Arabidopsis thaliana: one gene and its partner. The protein of the gene in region 1 interacts with the protein of each later gene in a pairwise test. Each region holds a gene or a part of one and is shown in the gene's direction. Other genes may lie near its edges.

Region 1 (9,012 bases):
TCGTGCAGCGATGGAGTTTCAACAAGCTGGGATAGATACCAAACCAGGGGAGTATCAACAGTTTATAGAGCAGCTTCAGTGCTATAAACCAGGGGAGTATCAGCAGTTTCTAGAGCAGCAGCAACAACAACCAAACAGCGTTCTTCAGCTTGCTACACTTCCTTCTGAGATTGATCCTACTTACAATCTCCAGCTTGCTCAGCCTAATCTTCAAAACGATCCAACGGCCCAGAATGATTAATACAATTCTCAATAGATATCTACTCTTTCTTTATGGAGACAGATTCATGAACTTTTATTACCTATATTTTGATAAGCCAGTGTCTTCTTTTGTGTGGCTATGGAAACCTTGTTTAAAGCACAATGCACTTGAGTTCTTGGTTATATAATTAATCATCATTATTACATATTTTCCAACTAAAGATCATCTGTTTATGTAATGAAACACCCTTGTTCTCCAAGTTATGTTTGTGAAAAAAAAAAGCTGTTGCTTTGATGTTTTGAAGTGAAGATTGGCCATTACCTGGAGACAGAGTGCAAGAGATAAGCAAAACTATTCTTAGACTATTAGCCGCAAGAAATACAAAAAATCCGGCAAATGTCTTATAGACTATTAGCCGCAAAAAAATAAAAAATAAAAAATCCCGGAAATGTCTTATAGATTACAAGCCGCAAAACTATTCTTAGATTATTAGCTGCCAAAAAAAAACATGAGGATCTTTGTAATGTCTGGTGGATTCAGACAGAGTGGATCATAATCCCGAAAAAAGCTCTTATAAAAAACTAAGCCATGATTGAAAACATTCCAATAACTTTTACAGAGGACTGCAAGAACGATCAAGAAGCAAGAAAGACGTTTCAGAAGAACAAACGTCTTCTTCTTGTTCTTCTTCTTCCTCCTCTTCTTTTTTTTGTTTTCATTACGACGAGAAAATTTGAGTTCGTGATCGCTTGAACAACCATCATCATCATCTAGAGCCCCAAAAAAGAAGAAGCTGCGGGCCGGTTATTTTGGTTAATTAGTCTAAATCCATGGCAGGAGGGGCATTTATAGACGAGAGTGGCCATGGAGGAGACTACGAAGGTCGTGTAACCGCGTTTGTCATGATAACCTGCATTGTAGCTGCAATGGGTGGTCTCCTCTTTGGTTACGACATTGGTATCTCAGGTTTGTTTCTTGCCAGCCAAGTAAACCAAAATTCTTCTCTCTGCTTCTTTCTTTGTTTTCATGGCGGACATATTATATGTTTTCAGGAGGAGTGATATCAATGGAGGACTTTCTAACGAAATTCTTCCCTGACGTGCTTCGTCAAATGCAAAACAAAAGAGGGCGTGAAACAGAATATTGTAAATATGACAATGAGCTTCTTACTCTCTTCACTTCCTCTCTTTACCTCGCTGCTTTGTTCGCTTCTTTCCTTGCCTCCACCATTACAAGGCTTTTTGGCCGGAAGGTCTCAATGGTTATCGGGTCTCTCGCTTTTCTCTCTGGAGCTCTTCTCAACGGTTTAGCTATCAACCTCGAGATGTTGATCATCGGGCGGTTATTTCTCGGTGTAGGTGTCGGATTCGCTAACCAATCTGTTCCTCTTTACCTCTCTGAGATGGCTCCTGCTAAGATCAGAGGAGCTCTCAACATTGGTTTTCAATTAGCAATCACGATCGGGATCTTAGCCGCGAACATTGTCAATTACGTGACCCCAAAGCTCCAGAACGGGATCGGATGGAGATTATCTCTCGGTTTAGCTGGAGTTCCGGCCGTTATGATGCTTGTCGGATGCTTTTTCTTGCCAGATACGCCAAACTCAATCCTTGAACGTGGAAACAAAGAAAAGGCTAAGGAGATGCTGCAGAAGATCAGAGGAACCATGGAGGTTGAGCATGAGTTTAATGAACTTTGCAACGCGTGTGAAGCCGCGAAGAAAGTTAAGCATCCATGGACGAACATAATGCAAGCTCGTTATCGACCGCAGCTCACGTTTTGTACCTTCATCCCATTCTTCCAGCAGCTAACCGGGATCAATGTCATTATGTTCTATGCACCTGTTCTGTTTAAGACCATCGGTTTTGGAAATGACGCCTCTCTCATATCCGCAGTTATCACCGGTCTTGTCAATGTCCTTTCCACCATTGTCTCCATCTACTCCGTTGACAAATTCGGACGAAGAGCTTTGTTTCTTCAAGGTGGTTTTCAGATGATCGTGACCCAGGTGCGTACAAACCCTAAAACAATGAAAATACTCTGTTTTTCAAAACAGAGTATCTTGCTCTGCTTTCTAAAACCGAGGTAGGTAACAATGATTTGTTTTGCTTTGGCTTCAGATCGCGGTCGGGTCGATGATCGGATGGAAATTTGGATTCAACGGGGAAGGAAATTTGTCAGGGGTTGATGCGGATATAATCTTGGCACTGATATGTCTCTATGTGGCGGGTTTCGCGTGGTCATGGGGACCGTTGGGATGGTTAGTGCCGAGTGAGATATGTCCATTGGAAATTAGATCAGCAGGACAATCGTTAAACGTTTCGGTGAACATGTTCTTTACATTCTTCATTGGACAATTCTTCTTGACGATGCTTTGCCATATGAAGTTTGGTTTGTTCTATTTCTTCGCGGGTATGGTCTTGATCATGACCATTTTCATTTACTTCTTGTTGCCGGAGACAAAAGGTGTTCCGATTGAGGAGATGGGGAAAGTGTGGAAAGAGCATAGATATTGGGGGAAATATAGTAATAATGATGATGGTGATGATGTTGATGATGATGCTTATTTTTAGTTGATGATTATTTGGGATTTAAGGATATGTTAGGATTAAAAACTTATTATTGAGAAAATGCTTATACTGACCAATGTGAGAAAATAAAAATGAGGATATAATAAACAAGTGTACATAATTTGAGGATTTATGACCGTACTTAAAATTACTCGAAACTTCTTGAACTAAAAATAATATAAATTTTTTGTTTAGACTAAAATGATCATTTTTTACGATAAAGATACATGTCGAGTAATTATTAAGAGTATCCAAATTATCCGTTTGAATTGTTAAAATATTTAAAATTATTATAATTTTCCGGCTACTAAAAATTCTCTAACACTTCACAAGATTATTAAAAAAAACTCTCTCTCTCTATTTGTACTTAAAATAACCCAAATTTGACCCATTCTCATTTGGATAGCGATTTTTAAATTATTGAATTTATCTACCATATCATATCTTATCAGTTGTTTCCAAAACTTAGAAGTGAAATTAAATTGGTTATTTATTTTTGTTTGTAACATAACTAAATCAACCATCAAGTCAATCTCGAACAAACAATTGTTATCATCCATTATCCAATATTAATTACTTTTTTGTTTTGTTTTGTTACAAGTGAATACTATTCACATGATTTATAAATTAGTATTATTATTCACTCCACAACATTTTGTATCAGATTAGGTTTCAAGTTTATAGTTACACAAAAAATGGATTCCGAAATCTTTTAGATTAAAAAAAAAAAGGATCAAAAGTTCAAGGTACACAATCTTTTTATAAAACTGCCGACATGATGCCATATCGCTCATGATTGCATTTATTTTTTTGCATTAGCTCACAAGAATGTTAAAAATTAACGATAAGAAAATCCATTTAATTAGGGGGTACGAGTACGAAAATAATTAAAACAAATATTAGCGTTTGGTGGTGCATAACTCAGCATAAGTCATAAAATAAATTGTTGTCACGATATGTGAAGAAAATCTCGTTGCGATGAGACGAACGACATAAAGAAAATCTTGCGTATCTGACAAGTGGACTAATCCACTTATTTTCAATGTCAGTCTCAAAATGGGAGTTATTAAAATTAATGTTCGTTCTTTTTATTTTATACACACATTTATTTTATATATATATTTATATTATATACAGTAAAACCTCTATAAATTAATAACATTAAAACCATAATATTTTTAATTTATAGTACTATTAATTTAAATGTCTTTGGGTATTTTAGTTGGCAAAACTCAACTAATTACAGGTAACTTTCTTTTGTGATGTCGACAAAAGAATTCTGAATAATTTTTAAGGGTTTCGATTTTTGCCATTTCACGTAAAACACGTGATACTGGGCTACTGGCATTTACGGCAGAGTAACTGGTGGCAAATATTATTACCAATATACTATAAACAAATAAATAAAAAGAACAAACACTAGTATTAAATTTTGATTGTTTTATAACTCAATTAAGTTTTGATGTCAAAGTCTACTTACCAATCAATTACCTCACTGATTTGTCTCCTTTTCAATCTTTTCGATTGTTTTATGGAAACAGCTTTCTAAAAAAGATTAATTTTCACGTAATCACAAAACAAATGTTCACATTAGCCCAAATCTAATAACCACATTAGGTTGGTCCCAAAAATTTAAAAACAAAAAAAAACTTTTTTAGACAGAGAGACCAACTTCAATACATTTAGTTTCATGTATTTTAAATAAGATTAGTATCTTCGTGTTAATTTCCAAATTCAAGCTTATAGTAAGTTAGTAATAATGTATATAATGACGTGGCAAAGGATAAATGTCTCTTTAAATGCACGTAGCAGCCGGAGGAGTGACCCACCTACCTAGTGTTAAATTCTCCTGCCGGAGTTTGGTCCCCACGCGACCTTCTTCTTCACCGGAGTAATAACGCGCGTGAGCTCCACCGCGTCGGGACAAAACTAATGTCCTCTCAAAAAAGCAAAAAAAAAAAGAGAAAAAAAACCAGAGATGGTGAGCTGTGTGAAAAGGACCCCACCACACCCATGTGCTTCTCCTTCCTGTCTCCACCAGCTCCCTCCTTCTCAATCATTAGCTTCTTCTCTTCTCTTCTCTCACAGAGAGAGTAATCACAAGCCAAGTGAGAAAAAGAAAACACTAAACCCAGATCGAAAACCATGTCTATTAACAACAACAACAACAACAACAACAATAACAACGATGGTCTTATGATCTCATCAAACGGAGCTTTAATCGAACAACAACCATCAGTCGTTGTGAAGAAACCACCGGCGAAAGATCGACATAGCAAAGTCGATGGAAGAGGGAGAAGAATCCGTATGCCGATTATATGTGCTGCTCGTGTTTTTCAGCTAACGAGAGAGCTTGGTCATAAGTCAGATGGCCAAACAATTGAATGGTTACTTCGTCAAGCAGAGCCTTCTATTATAGCTGCAACAGGAACTGGTACAACTCCAGCGAGTTTCTCAACTGCTTCTGTCTCTATCCGTGGAGCCACCAATTCTACTTCTTTAGATCATAAACCCACTTCTTTACTTGGTGGTACGTCACCGTTTATACTTGGGAAACGTGTTAGAGCTGATGAGGATAGTAATAATAGTCATAATCATAGTTCTGTTGGTAAAGATGAGACCTTTACGACAACACCAGCTGGGTTTTGGGCTGTTCCGGCGAGGCCGGATTTTGGACAAGTTTGGAGTTTTGCTGGAGCTCCACAAGAGATGTTTTTACAACAACAACATCATCATCAGCAACCATTGTTTGTTCATCAGCAACAGCAACAACAAGCTGCAATGGGTGAAGCTTCTGCTGCTAGAGTTGGGAATTATCTTCCGGGTCATCTTAATTTGCTTGCTTCTTTATCCGGTGGATCTCCCGGGTCGGATCGAAGAGAGGAAGATCCACGTTAATGGTTTAAGCCCTTTTAGGTTTGAGGGCAAAATTTGGTATATATATTTATTATCTTCTCTTCTCTATTGTTGTCATTGTTTCTCTATGTGTGTGTTTTAGTGTTGTTAGAGATTGATTTGGTTTCAGAATCTCTGCAAGTGATTTGAGAGTTTTCGTTAGCTTTAAGTAAGTTAAAGACGGTTGTTTTTGATTAGGGTTAAATTAGGGTTTAAGAATCTGTTGTTTTTTTGGAGGGAGATCGATTTCTTATCGGATCCAAGATTACTTTTAGGAAAAAAGGGAAAATTTCAGAAACCACGGTGGTTTCTTTTCCTCTTTTTTTTTTTGTGTCTGTTTTTTTTTTCCGGTGAAACAGAGCCGTCGATTAAAATTTCAGATATATATTTAAATGTTTTAATATGGTTTGTTGTTGTTGTTGCTAATTGTGTAATGTGTTACAACAATTGTGGTGAAGCATTTGCGTAAGCTGTTAACCACGTTTATTTCTAATAAATGTTTCGAATTCATATTGTTCCTTCCTTCTCTGCATTTATTGATACACAAAAAGCTTTATGTGATAGTGATTGTTTCGTTGAAATCGAACCGGATGATGGATTTTTGAACAGAATCATAATAATCTCTTATTTTTTTAGTGGATATATGTATGAATTGTGGATTTTGAGATGCTATTTATTTTTGGCGTTTCGCGTCTTGATTTAATGCAAGAACTGAACAGAGGATTTAGTAAGAAAAAGAGACAAACCAGTTGTGTCTGAATTCTTCAATTTTGTTGCCTTTTTGTTTCATATGAATCTTTGTACTGTGCTTTTGGAAGTTTGGTTTGTCACGTTAGTCAGAGAAATATTAAATTTAAGTACTGTTAAAACTATATGGCGACATGATATCTTTAAATTAATTGTCTATATTTTTGTTCTAGAAACTGTTACAATTTGAAAGATTAAAGGTGTTAGAATTGTCTCTTCTCTTGTTTGAGATTAGCTATCTAAAAAAATGTGGGTGATACACTCGAACATGAGTTCAAATGGTTGTTTTAATTTTGGCAAAAACCATTTTCACTGTTGTAATAATTTGGACTATCAAAAAAGTAAATTTTATTTTAACCCCTGATATAGTATAATTTCTTATGCAAAGTATATTTAAGGTACAAATAGCATAGATTCAATGATTTCGTTTGTGGTTTTCACAGCTATATATCTGCTGAGTAATGTATTTAACCAATAATTTATTTATCACGATAATACCTGATGAATAAATGTCAAAGTGATTAGATAGGCTTCTTTAGACTATTTAGGTCACACTAACCAATCAAAAGAATCAAACAAATTTTCTCATTAAAATAAGAATCCATTAATGGAAAGATCTTAACAAAAAGTTGGTGTTTTTTCTTTCTTAATTAGGTCTTAGTAATTAACACTTAGCTATATAATGTAATGCAAATAATTATAGGTGGGGGATCTTTGTAATCAACTCGTATCAATAAAACATCCGTACCTTTTATTGTCGAATCATCTAAATGACCCCAACACCAATAATTGATATGGTCCCAATTATTTTCTACCGAAAAATAATTTCTATAGGCTGGCAAATAATTCATATACGAGTCTTTATTTTTCATATACATATTTCGCATTTTGGACCGACACATGTAAATAAATAAATAGCCTCTCATTCACCTCACTCTACTAGCTCTGTGCCGTGTTAAATTAAATGTACTGTCAAATACTTTATGGTTCAGAAAAAATTGATGACTAAACATTATCATAGAGTATCAAAATTTGATTTTCAAAACTGACTATAAAAACAATTTTATAGCAAAAATAAAATAAATTTTAGTTGTTTCTTTTAAACGTTAAAGCATGTTCATTTTTTCCTAGTTGCAGATTCTACAGTGATCAATTTGGGATCTATATTAATTCTATATAAGACCCAAAACATGTAAGAATATTAATTTTATGTGTTATTTGTTTAGTTACAAATGTAAAAATACGCAACTAATTAACTATTTCATTTGGTTACATTTTTTTATAAGTATGACAAAATATAAGCAAATTAAGTATTGTTTGAATTATAAGCAAATATTTTTTTGTTTCAAATTTTTTCAAAATATAGGTAAACTATTAAAAATTGTTTTTTGATTCAATTTTGTTTTAATTTTTATTTGAATCAAAGCATACACTATTTTCTTCTTTAATCATTTAAGGCCTCGAAAATGTTAGAAACAGCTTAAATGGGCCAATATGGGCCTTATGACTTCATCTCTAACGCTGAAGTCTGAACTCCGCTTAACGGGCCATCACACACTTCGTCTCTAACCTTTTGAAGAAAGAGTTTGAGCGCATCGCAAACTCGAAGGCGCGACTGTGAGAGAGAAGAATGGCGTCGTCATCATCGAGAGGAGAGATGGAGAAGATGGGAATCGATCAGCTAAAAGCTTTGAAGGAGCAAGCAGATCTGGAAGTGAATCTTCTTCAAGATAGTCTCAACAACATCCGTACAGCTACCGTTCGTCTCGATGCCGCCGCCGCAGCTCTCAACGATCTCTCTCTTCGACCTCAAGGTTTTGTTTATTTCACCTCTCCTTCTTCAATTTCAGCGATGGATGATTATAAAACAATTTGAAAATTGTAGGTAAGAAGATGCTTGTACCACTGACTGCTTCTCTATACGTGCCTGGGACACTTGATGAAGCTGATAAGGTTTTAGTTGATATTGGCACTGGTTACTTCATTGAGGTAATAGAAAACTTCAATAAGTAATTGGATTATTATGACTTTGTTCTTGTGTAGCTCAAGTGTTTTGCTGCATTTTTATGTAGAAAACAATGGATGATGGAAAAGATTATTGTCAGAGGAAGATCAACTTGCTCAAATCCAACTTTGATCAACTTTTTGAGGTAATATGTATTCGCAATTAGGATCATTTCACTATCTTAGCAACTTTTAAAGGCCTGATTTGGTTTTTAGATAGATTCTGAGTGAAAGGGAATATGTATTCGAATGCCAGTGAGTATGCCTTAGAACTGTACTTTTAGGTATTGAAGGCCTACACTTTTCCTTCATACGGCTTATTGAATATGCCTTAGAACTGTCCTTTTACTGAAGGATAACACATTTCTCATAACATTTACGAAAATTGTGAATGAGCAAAGTGGATAAGATTTTTTGAATTGAATGGAGTCTGATTCTGTTACTAGGGGTGAATCTTTGTGGACTTCTTTCACTGACTTGATCCATTGTATAAAAATGTTTGAGGCCTTAAAGTTTTATGGAATGCAAGTACGTAGTCAGAAAGCCCTTTGGTTGATCCTTTCCTGCATTGTCAAACACTCCCTAGTCCCTAGA
Region 2 (7,291 bases), on another chromosome or scaffold:
GGAACTCCCGGATATCTCGATCCGCTGTCAGTTTTCTCTCTTATGTCTGCCATATTTGCCAAACATGGAATCTTTTTTTAGTGATTGTATGCTCCGTTTTGCAGATGCTTTGAGACAAATGGGCTAAACGAGAAGAGTGACATTTACAGCTTTGGAGTTGTTCTGTTGGAGATGATTACAGGCAAAACCGTGATCAAAGAGTCACAAACGAAACGTGTTCATGTGAGTGATTGGGTGATATCGATCTTGAGGTCTACGAATGATGTGAACAATGTTATAGATTCAAAGATGGCGAAAGATTTTGATGTAAACTCTGTATGGAAAGTTGTGGAGCTTGCATTATCCTCTGTTTCGCAGAACGTCTCTGATAGGCCAAACATGCCACATATTGTTAGAGGATTGAATGAGTGTCTTCAAAGAGAAGAGAGTAACAAGAACTATTGATGTCACAACGCAAAGGGTGTAGAATAAGTCAAGGGGTTGGAAACAGAAAGATGTTGAAAACTTGGGAGTGTTTATATATTTAAATTTTTGAAAGGCTTTTTAAAGTTTGTGTTGCTAATGCTATATCTAAAAGCCCAAAGTAATAATGTAATGGAATAGAAAAGAATCCATAATAAATAGGAAAAAACAAAGAAAAAGTACCTAATCCGGTAGCCACAAGGAAAAAAGAGGACAAGAAGATGGTGACAACAAGACAAAGACCGAAGCCGCGTAGGACCCCAAACGTACCTTTTAAATAAAACGCTGATTCCTTTCGGACTTTTGCGTCGCACGGTCTGTGCCGCTGTCCCCACAAATCTCTATTTTTTACACACGCAATCTCTACCTCTGCGTCTGCGTTTCGAAACGTGACTCTTCTAACCGCTCCACGTGAGTGACTTTTAGAGCGAGTTTGGTGTCCGAAACCACGCGTGCGCGTCTCCTCAACGCCTGAGTCTCTCTATGAAGTTGCATTGACGTCAGAAAAATTAAATTTGTCTTACTTGAAACATAAAAATTTACAGTAGTAAATTATCATTTTCATAACACTTCATTTATTCTCTTGTAGTTAAACAACGGATATACTAATGAAATGAACTCGTTCAATCTAATTAAAATCTCATTATTAATGGTAGACGCTAGAGAATCTCATTATTGTAGGTGTTAATTTATGAAAATAATACATCACTTTCAATCACTGATTTGATTAGATTGATGGATTTTATATACAGCCCATGTTTTTAACCTCTCTAGTTGAAATTTTGGTTGATTTTAAAGAGAAGAGAACAAAAATTCAAAGACGAAAAAAGCAAAAAGTGGAAAGTAGAAACAAAAAGACTGATGGTGCAGAGAGCTGGTCAAATATGTTGACAAAATAAAATAACCTTACAATGTCACTATCATCAATAAATGAAAAAATAGTTCTCTCTATCTATCTATAATAATAATAATAAAAGCAACTTCTACCTGGGACTGATATTAACTACGAAGACCTCTCACTCTCTCAATGGGTTGTATAATAGCTGTCAAATTATGATGTATTTAGTCACAAGACAAAAGACTGATTCTGAACACTAAAGCCTAATTAGGGATTAGTCTTTACTCTTTAGTCATCTGTTTCATCTTTATTATTAAAGTTTGCAGGAGTTGTAGTAGATGGTGTGGGGGCAATATATGCAGAACATGCATGCTTCCAAAATGTCCTAACTACGTCACTTAAGGTTCCATTTTTTTCTATCTAAACTAAGAAATACTTATGTATCTATTAATCTACATCTAATTGGTTGTCAAAAAAAAATGTATCATAGAAGTCTTTGGAGCACATAAATAAAACATCTGGAGATTTTCTGAACATAATGTGAGGTCAAGAATTTGTGTGCAAAATTACAATTTTCAGGCATGAGTGGCTCTGATTTTGACCATTTGAATAAATTTGTAGCTTGTTATAACCTTTACACTCGTAAGGAAAAAATTATCAAAAAATATTGATAGTCGATAAAATTGAAAACTCTAGATTTATACAAATCAATAAATAAATTTGAAAATAATTAAATGAGAAGTAAATGACATTACTTCACCCAAAAAGAGTCTAGACGAAAAAGACAGACATAAAAATAAGTCCCCTTCTATTTGTTTGGAGCATAAACAAAAACAGACACAGTTTCTTCTCTCTCTCTCTCTGTCTCTTTCCTTTTCTCACGCCGAGATTTCTGCGACTGCTCTAATCTTACGACCTTATAAGAAACGACGCTTATTTTCACTCTGCTTGAGCTCTTCATCGTGTCACACAGCACGATCTTGGACGTCGTTTTAAGCGCAAAACAAAGGAAAAAGACTGACGTTTATACATACTAAATACTGGTTTGGAGTTTTGCCTTTTGGACTCAGAAAACTCAAAAGAGAGAGAGAGACATTTCTGTATCTTATCGGGTTTTGTGTTGTCAGAAAGAAGCTCAAGGACAAAAAAAAAAGCAATTATTTTTAGGGTTCAAACGAAGCAAAATTTGGAACTTTCAGAAGTTGTGGGTGGTGGCTTCTTGAACAATAAAGCTTTTTCTTAGACTCTTCTTCCAATTTGTGACTCTACCTATCTCTCTCTCCGTAAGCTCTTTCTCTCTCTCTTTATTCGTTCTTTCTTTATTTGCTCTGTTTCTTTACTCCATTTTTGGCTTAATTACACCAAATTTAGTCTGCTAAAAGCTAATTTCAAGCATAATTACTTATCTCTCCTCTTCTTGTTGCTAACCTTCAGTTGGATTAGGTTTTGATTTCGTTTATACGACAATCCCCGTGACTGAAAAAGTTACCAACTTTGATAGATATCGTTACCAGATTCTACTCATAGTTTTGTTATTGTAATGCAAGAAGTTGAGTTCTTGTTTACATTAACTTCAATAATTCACTGAGAGTGACTTTTTGTTCTCCTCTGATCCGTGGAGGATTCTCTATATGTGTTTTGTTTTTTGGGGGGGTTTTCTCCTGTTTTTAGGGACTCTATTGATTCATGCATATATGATGTTATTCTCTGTTTATGAGTTTATGCAAATAATCTAAGCAAGGTATGATAACATATTTAATCTTTTTGTTTGAGCTTATAATTGTGCTTAGAAATCTTAAAATAATGCTTAAGCTGATGTGAACTTGAGGCCTAGCCTCTGACCACAAATCCTAGCCTACTTCGTTGACCATACCTTTGTCTTGGCTTAATATTCTAAATTTCTCTTCCAAATCCTGTCTCCCAATGCATTGGTTGGTCCAAAACAAGATCATCATTTCATAGATCTTGTAATCTTTCTGGTCTGTAATTTGCTCTAGGATGGTAACCTTGTACCCTATGTAACATGTCTTGTTAGTATAAATTTTGGGTCATGTTGTGTTGATGACTCTTTAGCGCATTTCTTATTGACAAAAGGTATGGAATTCTCTAGAGACGCTGGAATGATGATGGAGAATAAGCGGAATGTCTGCTCTCTCGGAGAAAGCAGTATCAAACGCCACAAGTCTGATCTCTCTTTCAGTTCCAAGGTTTTGCTTATCCTAGCTAGTTTTCATGGATTTCTCGGTCGAAATAGTCTTCGGTACAACAAATTGCATGGTAATGATCCGTCCATCTTTGTTCTCTTAATGGCAAACAGGAGAGGAAGGACAAGGTTGGAGAACGTATTTCAGCTCTTCAACAAATAGTTTCCCCTTATGGAAAGGTAACTTTGTTTTTTTTGGCAAGCAAATCAAAAGAATCTGTCTCTCAGCTCATACTTTTCTCTAATGTTCACAGACCGACACTGCATCAGTTCTTCTAGACGCGATGCATTACATAGAGTTTCTTCACGAACAAGTGAAGGTCTGCAGTTCAATACCAAGCATGATTCATTCATCTTTATCTGAGTTCCCATGTTCTTTTGTACAGGTGCTAAGTGCTCCGTATCTGCAAACGGTACCTGATGCTACGCAGGTGAGTATGATCTTGAATCTCAACTTCATTTATACTTAGTTCACTAGTTCTACTCTGCATCTGACAGATCTTCACTTGGAACTTGAATACCTTGCACGGACTGATTTTCCCGTCTTTTGTAACCAGGAGGAGCTGGAGCAGTACAGCCTGAGAAACAGAGGATTATGTCTTGTTCCAATGGAGAATACAGTTGGAGTTGCTCAAAGCAACGGCGCTGATATATGGGCGCCCGTGAAGACTCCTCTATCACCAGCTTTCAGTGTCACATCTCAATCACCCTTTAGATGACCAATTCGACTAATCACCTACTACGATCTTTGTGTTAAGCCTAAAAAAGAATGACCAATTGTTATTTTTCTGATGATGCCTCTGTAACATATATAGACAGAGAGCACATGATGTTGGTTTAGAACAGCTCATGGTTGGCAATGATTGTTATTATTATTCGACTGCTTAATGCATCCCCTTACTTTGGACTTGTGTAATATGCCCAAACAGGAACCAAATGATTTTAATGCAAAGTAATCTTTATCCCAAAAAATGCCTCAGATATCTTAAGCTTTTCTTTGTGTGATTCTTACCTACAGCATCCAATACATTATTCTAGATCTAAAGACCCAAGGCAAGCTTTCTTTCAGTGCTGAAGGTATGATCGTGGATTTCCCTAATACATATAGCTTTCTTTCAGTGCTTGTAATAGTGCCAAACTGCTGACCACAGAATTAAGATTATCCTTTCATAAGAACATTGGATTAAATACATTACCACTGAGAATTGCAAAGGTTCAGAACATACAGACTGTTGATACCAAGGGACCAAATAGCTTGGACAAAGATAAGATAAGTCGGTCATAATGTGTTTTTAACTACTAGATTGCAATGCTTTGGCATATGTAAATGTGACAGGGAGGATCATCCTCTTCAGCTCTACATGGGATAAAACTAACTTGCTGCAGTAGGCTTGACCTTCTCTCGCATATACTGCAGTAGATGTTCGCGTTTCCAGTTGTCGATTCTGCAAAACAAGCAAATCAAGAAACAAAGAGGTCAGCTACAACCTTGGAGGAATGAAGTTGTGTTGCTGATAGAGGATGAGGTGTTAAAGACATCACTTATTCATGCTCACAACGAGAAAATCCTTTCAAAAACCAATTTAAACTAGAGGTCTAAGTAAATGATACAGCAGAATGTAACAGAGCAACGAGAGAGTGAGAATAGAAACTGCTGCAGATCCATGGATAGTTATATTTTTATCTACCAAGCTAACATGGATATATCAGGTCACCTTGAACGTCTTAAATCAGGTCAACTCGTTCCCCCACCCAAACTCTAATACTAAAGATTCTAGCAAGGAGTTGAGCAAAGGGGGTTATAAAGCAACTTACCTAATTGATTCCTTATGTTCACCGTCTTCGTCGAGCATGATCAACTTGGGTGGTGAGTTGAAAATGTACTGAACTTTGACGCTAGGGAACTTTTCTTTCTCTTCTTCAATGAAACCAACAATTTCAGGATAGAAAACCAACTTCCTCATACACACCTCTAATATAGCGCCAGAATAGGTAACCTGCAATGGCAAAAAAATGTAAACTTCTCTTCATTCATATCCATGTTATAGGAGATGTTTCTGTATTCATCTAATCTATTCCCATTAAAATTCAAAAGCACTACAAATTACATGCCTAGTGATCGTACCTTGCTCATGGAATCCTCAGAATCATCAGCACAACATTTCAAGCAATCAGATACCAACTCTGCAAACAAGATCAATCAATATAAGATAACCAATTTAGTAATTCCACTCCTCAAAACCAACTTTAGAGAGAATGATCTAGCTCATAAAATACACAAAAACTAAAATATAGAATCTTTTGGGGGAAAAAAAGCAAAACTGCAGTAATTGAGATCAAATAAAGCACGCATAGAAAGGCACGAACCTTGGTCCTTAACGTATTCAGAGAGTGAGTGGCAATCGGAGCAGAGTGCAAGACCGCTAAACCCTAGATCCTCACATTCTTTAGTGCTGAGCTGCTCTTTTGCTGAGATCGTCGATGCCAATATCAAAATCATCATCGCTGATAAAACAACCATCTTCGCCATCTCTCTCTGTTTCATCAACAGATCAAAGTCTTCGCAGATCCGACGCTACTCTAACTAATGTCGCTGCCTTGCTATGATCCGATCCGGTCAATTCCGGTTTTTTAAGTATCCGAAAAAGCAATCTTGGTATAGAGGAAACCATCTCCGGTTATAAATAAAAAAGTCTTAACCGACGTGAAAAGTGTTAAAACCCCAATTCACATTAGCCTGTTGCGATCTAAAACCTCTAAAACCCTAGAATCAAAATCGCCCATTCGAGATCGAGAGAGACGATGGATCACATAGCGGCAGCGGAGGAGCAAATTGTAACGGAGAGGATTAGAAGAAAACTTGAAGAAGTTAATGCAACTGCTCAATCGCAACTCTCTCCTATTCAAGATCACATCAATTTCACCCTTCAGGTATATTAACAATCATATACCTTTTTGTAGCATTCCTGATCCTCCTACTCATAGGTGTATGTTATTTGTGTGCTCGTGTTGATTTTGATTCGGGTGACCAATTTACCAATTCTGAAAAAGCCGAAATTTTCCTTCAACTTGTAATCGCAACAAAAGAGAAAAACTTGTCCTTTTGTTCCATATATTGTCCAATTCAAGGCATTAATCTGTTCTAGTTAAGTTCACTTGTGGACTTGTGGTATATCTCTTTTATAATGGGTTTTAACTAAGTTTTCTGAGCTAATTTTTGCTGCCCTTTGATACAATCTGTCTAGTTAATAACATGAAAGTTTGTAGTCATGTTAAGTTCCTGGAAGCTGTGTCTTGTTGTAGTCATGTTAAGTAGTTCCTGGAAACTTAAACTTGACAGTTTTCATTATATCTCTACAGCTATATTAGTATAACTCAAGTTGTATGAAAGCGTATTGTTTTCATATTTATTTGTTAAGTTGATGAATCAAACCCGGAAAATTGATCAATTGCAGCAAGCCTATTTCAAATGTGCATACGAGTGCTTTGACAGAAATAGGAAGCAAGAGGAGATAGCCAACTGTGTTGAGCACTGCAGTGTTCCAGTTGTCAATGCTCAACAGCATTTCGAAGGCGAAATGTCTCAGTTTCAGGTATAATATAATTTCAACTCACAAAAAATGCATAATTTTACAATGGACTGAGAAACTTGCAATTGTAATTATGATGCAGGAAAGGATGAACAGATCTCTCATGGTCTGTCAAGACAAATTTGAGGCTGCAAAGCTCCATAAGAACAGGGGAGATGCCGCCAAAGCTATGGAGAGTTGTGTGAACACATCCATTGA

The links.
Region 2: the proteins of AT5G23280 (region 1) and AT1G05710 interact in binary tests that used the Arabidopsis thaliana proteins (3 or more experiments, as listed by UniProt).

What each region holds. Positions count from the first base shown.
Region 1 is NC_003076.8:7,838,100-7,847,111, forward strand, and holds AT5G23280 (TCP family transcription factor), read left to right. Parts: upstream 1-4,507; 5' UTR 4,508-4,917; coding exon 4,918-5,670; 3' UTR 5,671-6,550; downstream 6,551-9,012. Other genes in the region: TT16 (K-box region and MADS-box transcription factor family protein), read left to right, coding at 1-241; STP11 (sugar transporter 11), read left to right, coding at 1,033-1,168, 1,255-2,210, 2,323-2,775; PFD5 (prefoldin 5), read left to right, coding at 8,045-8,228, 8,300-8,403, 8,487-8,564.
Region 2 is NC_003070.9:1,712,802-1,720,092, forward strand, and holds AT1G05710 (basic helix-loop-helix (bHLH) DNA-binding superfamily protein), read left to right. Parts: upstream 1-2,016; 5' UTR 2,017-2,583; exon of another isoform or gene 2,584-3,394; 5' UTR 3,395-3,396; coding exon 3,397-3,507; intron 3,508-3,617; coding exon 3,618-3,683; intron 3,684-3,757; coding exon 3,758-3,934; intron 3,935-4,060; coding exon 4,061-4,222; 3' UTR 4,223-4,489; downstream 4,490-7,291. Other genes in the region: AT1G05700 (Leucine-rich repeat transmembrane protein kinase protein), read left to right, coding at 1-26, 105-444; AT1G05720 (selenoprotein family protein), read right to left, coding at 4,876-4,948, 5,319-5,500, 5,629-5,687, 5,871-6,048; AT1G05730 (FAM136A-like protein (DUF842)), read left to right, coding at 6,306-6,434, 6,959-7,096, 7,176-7,291.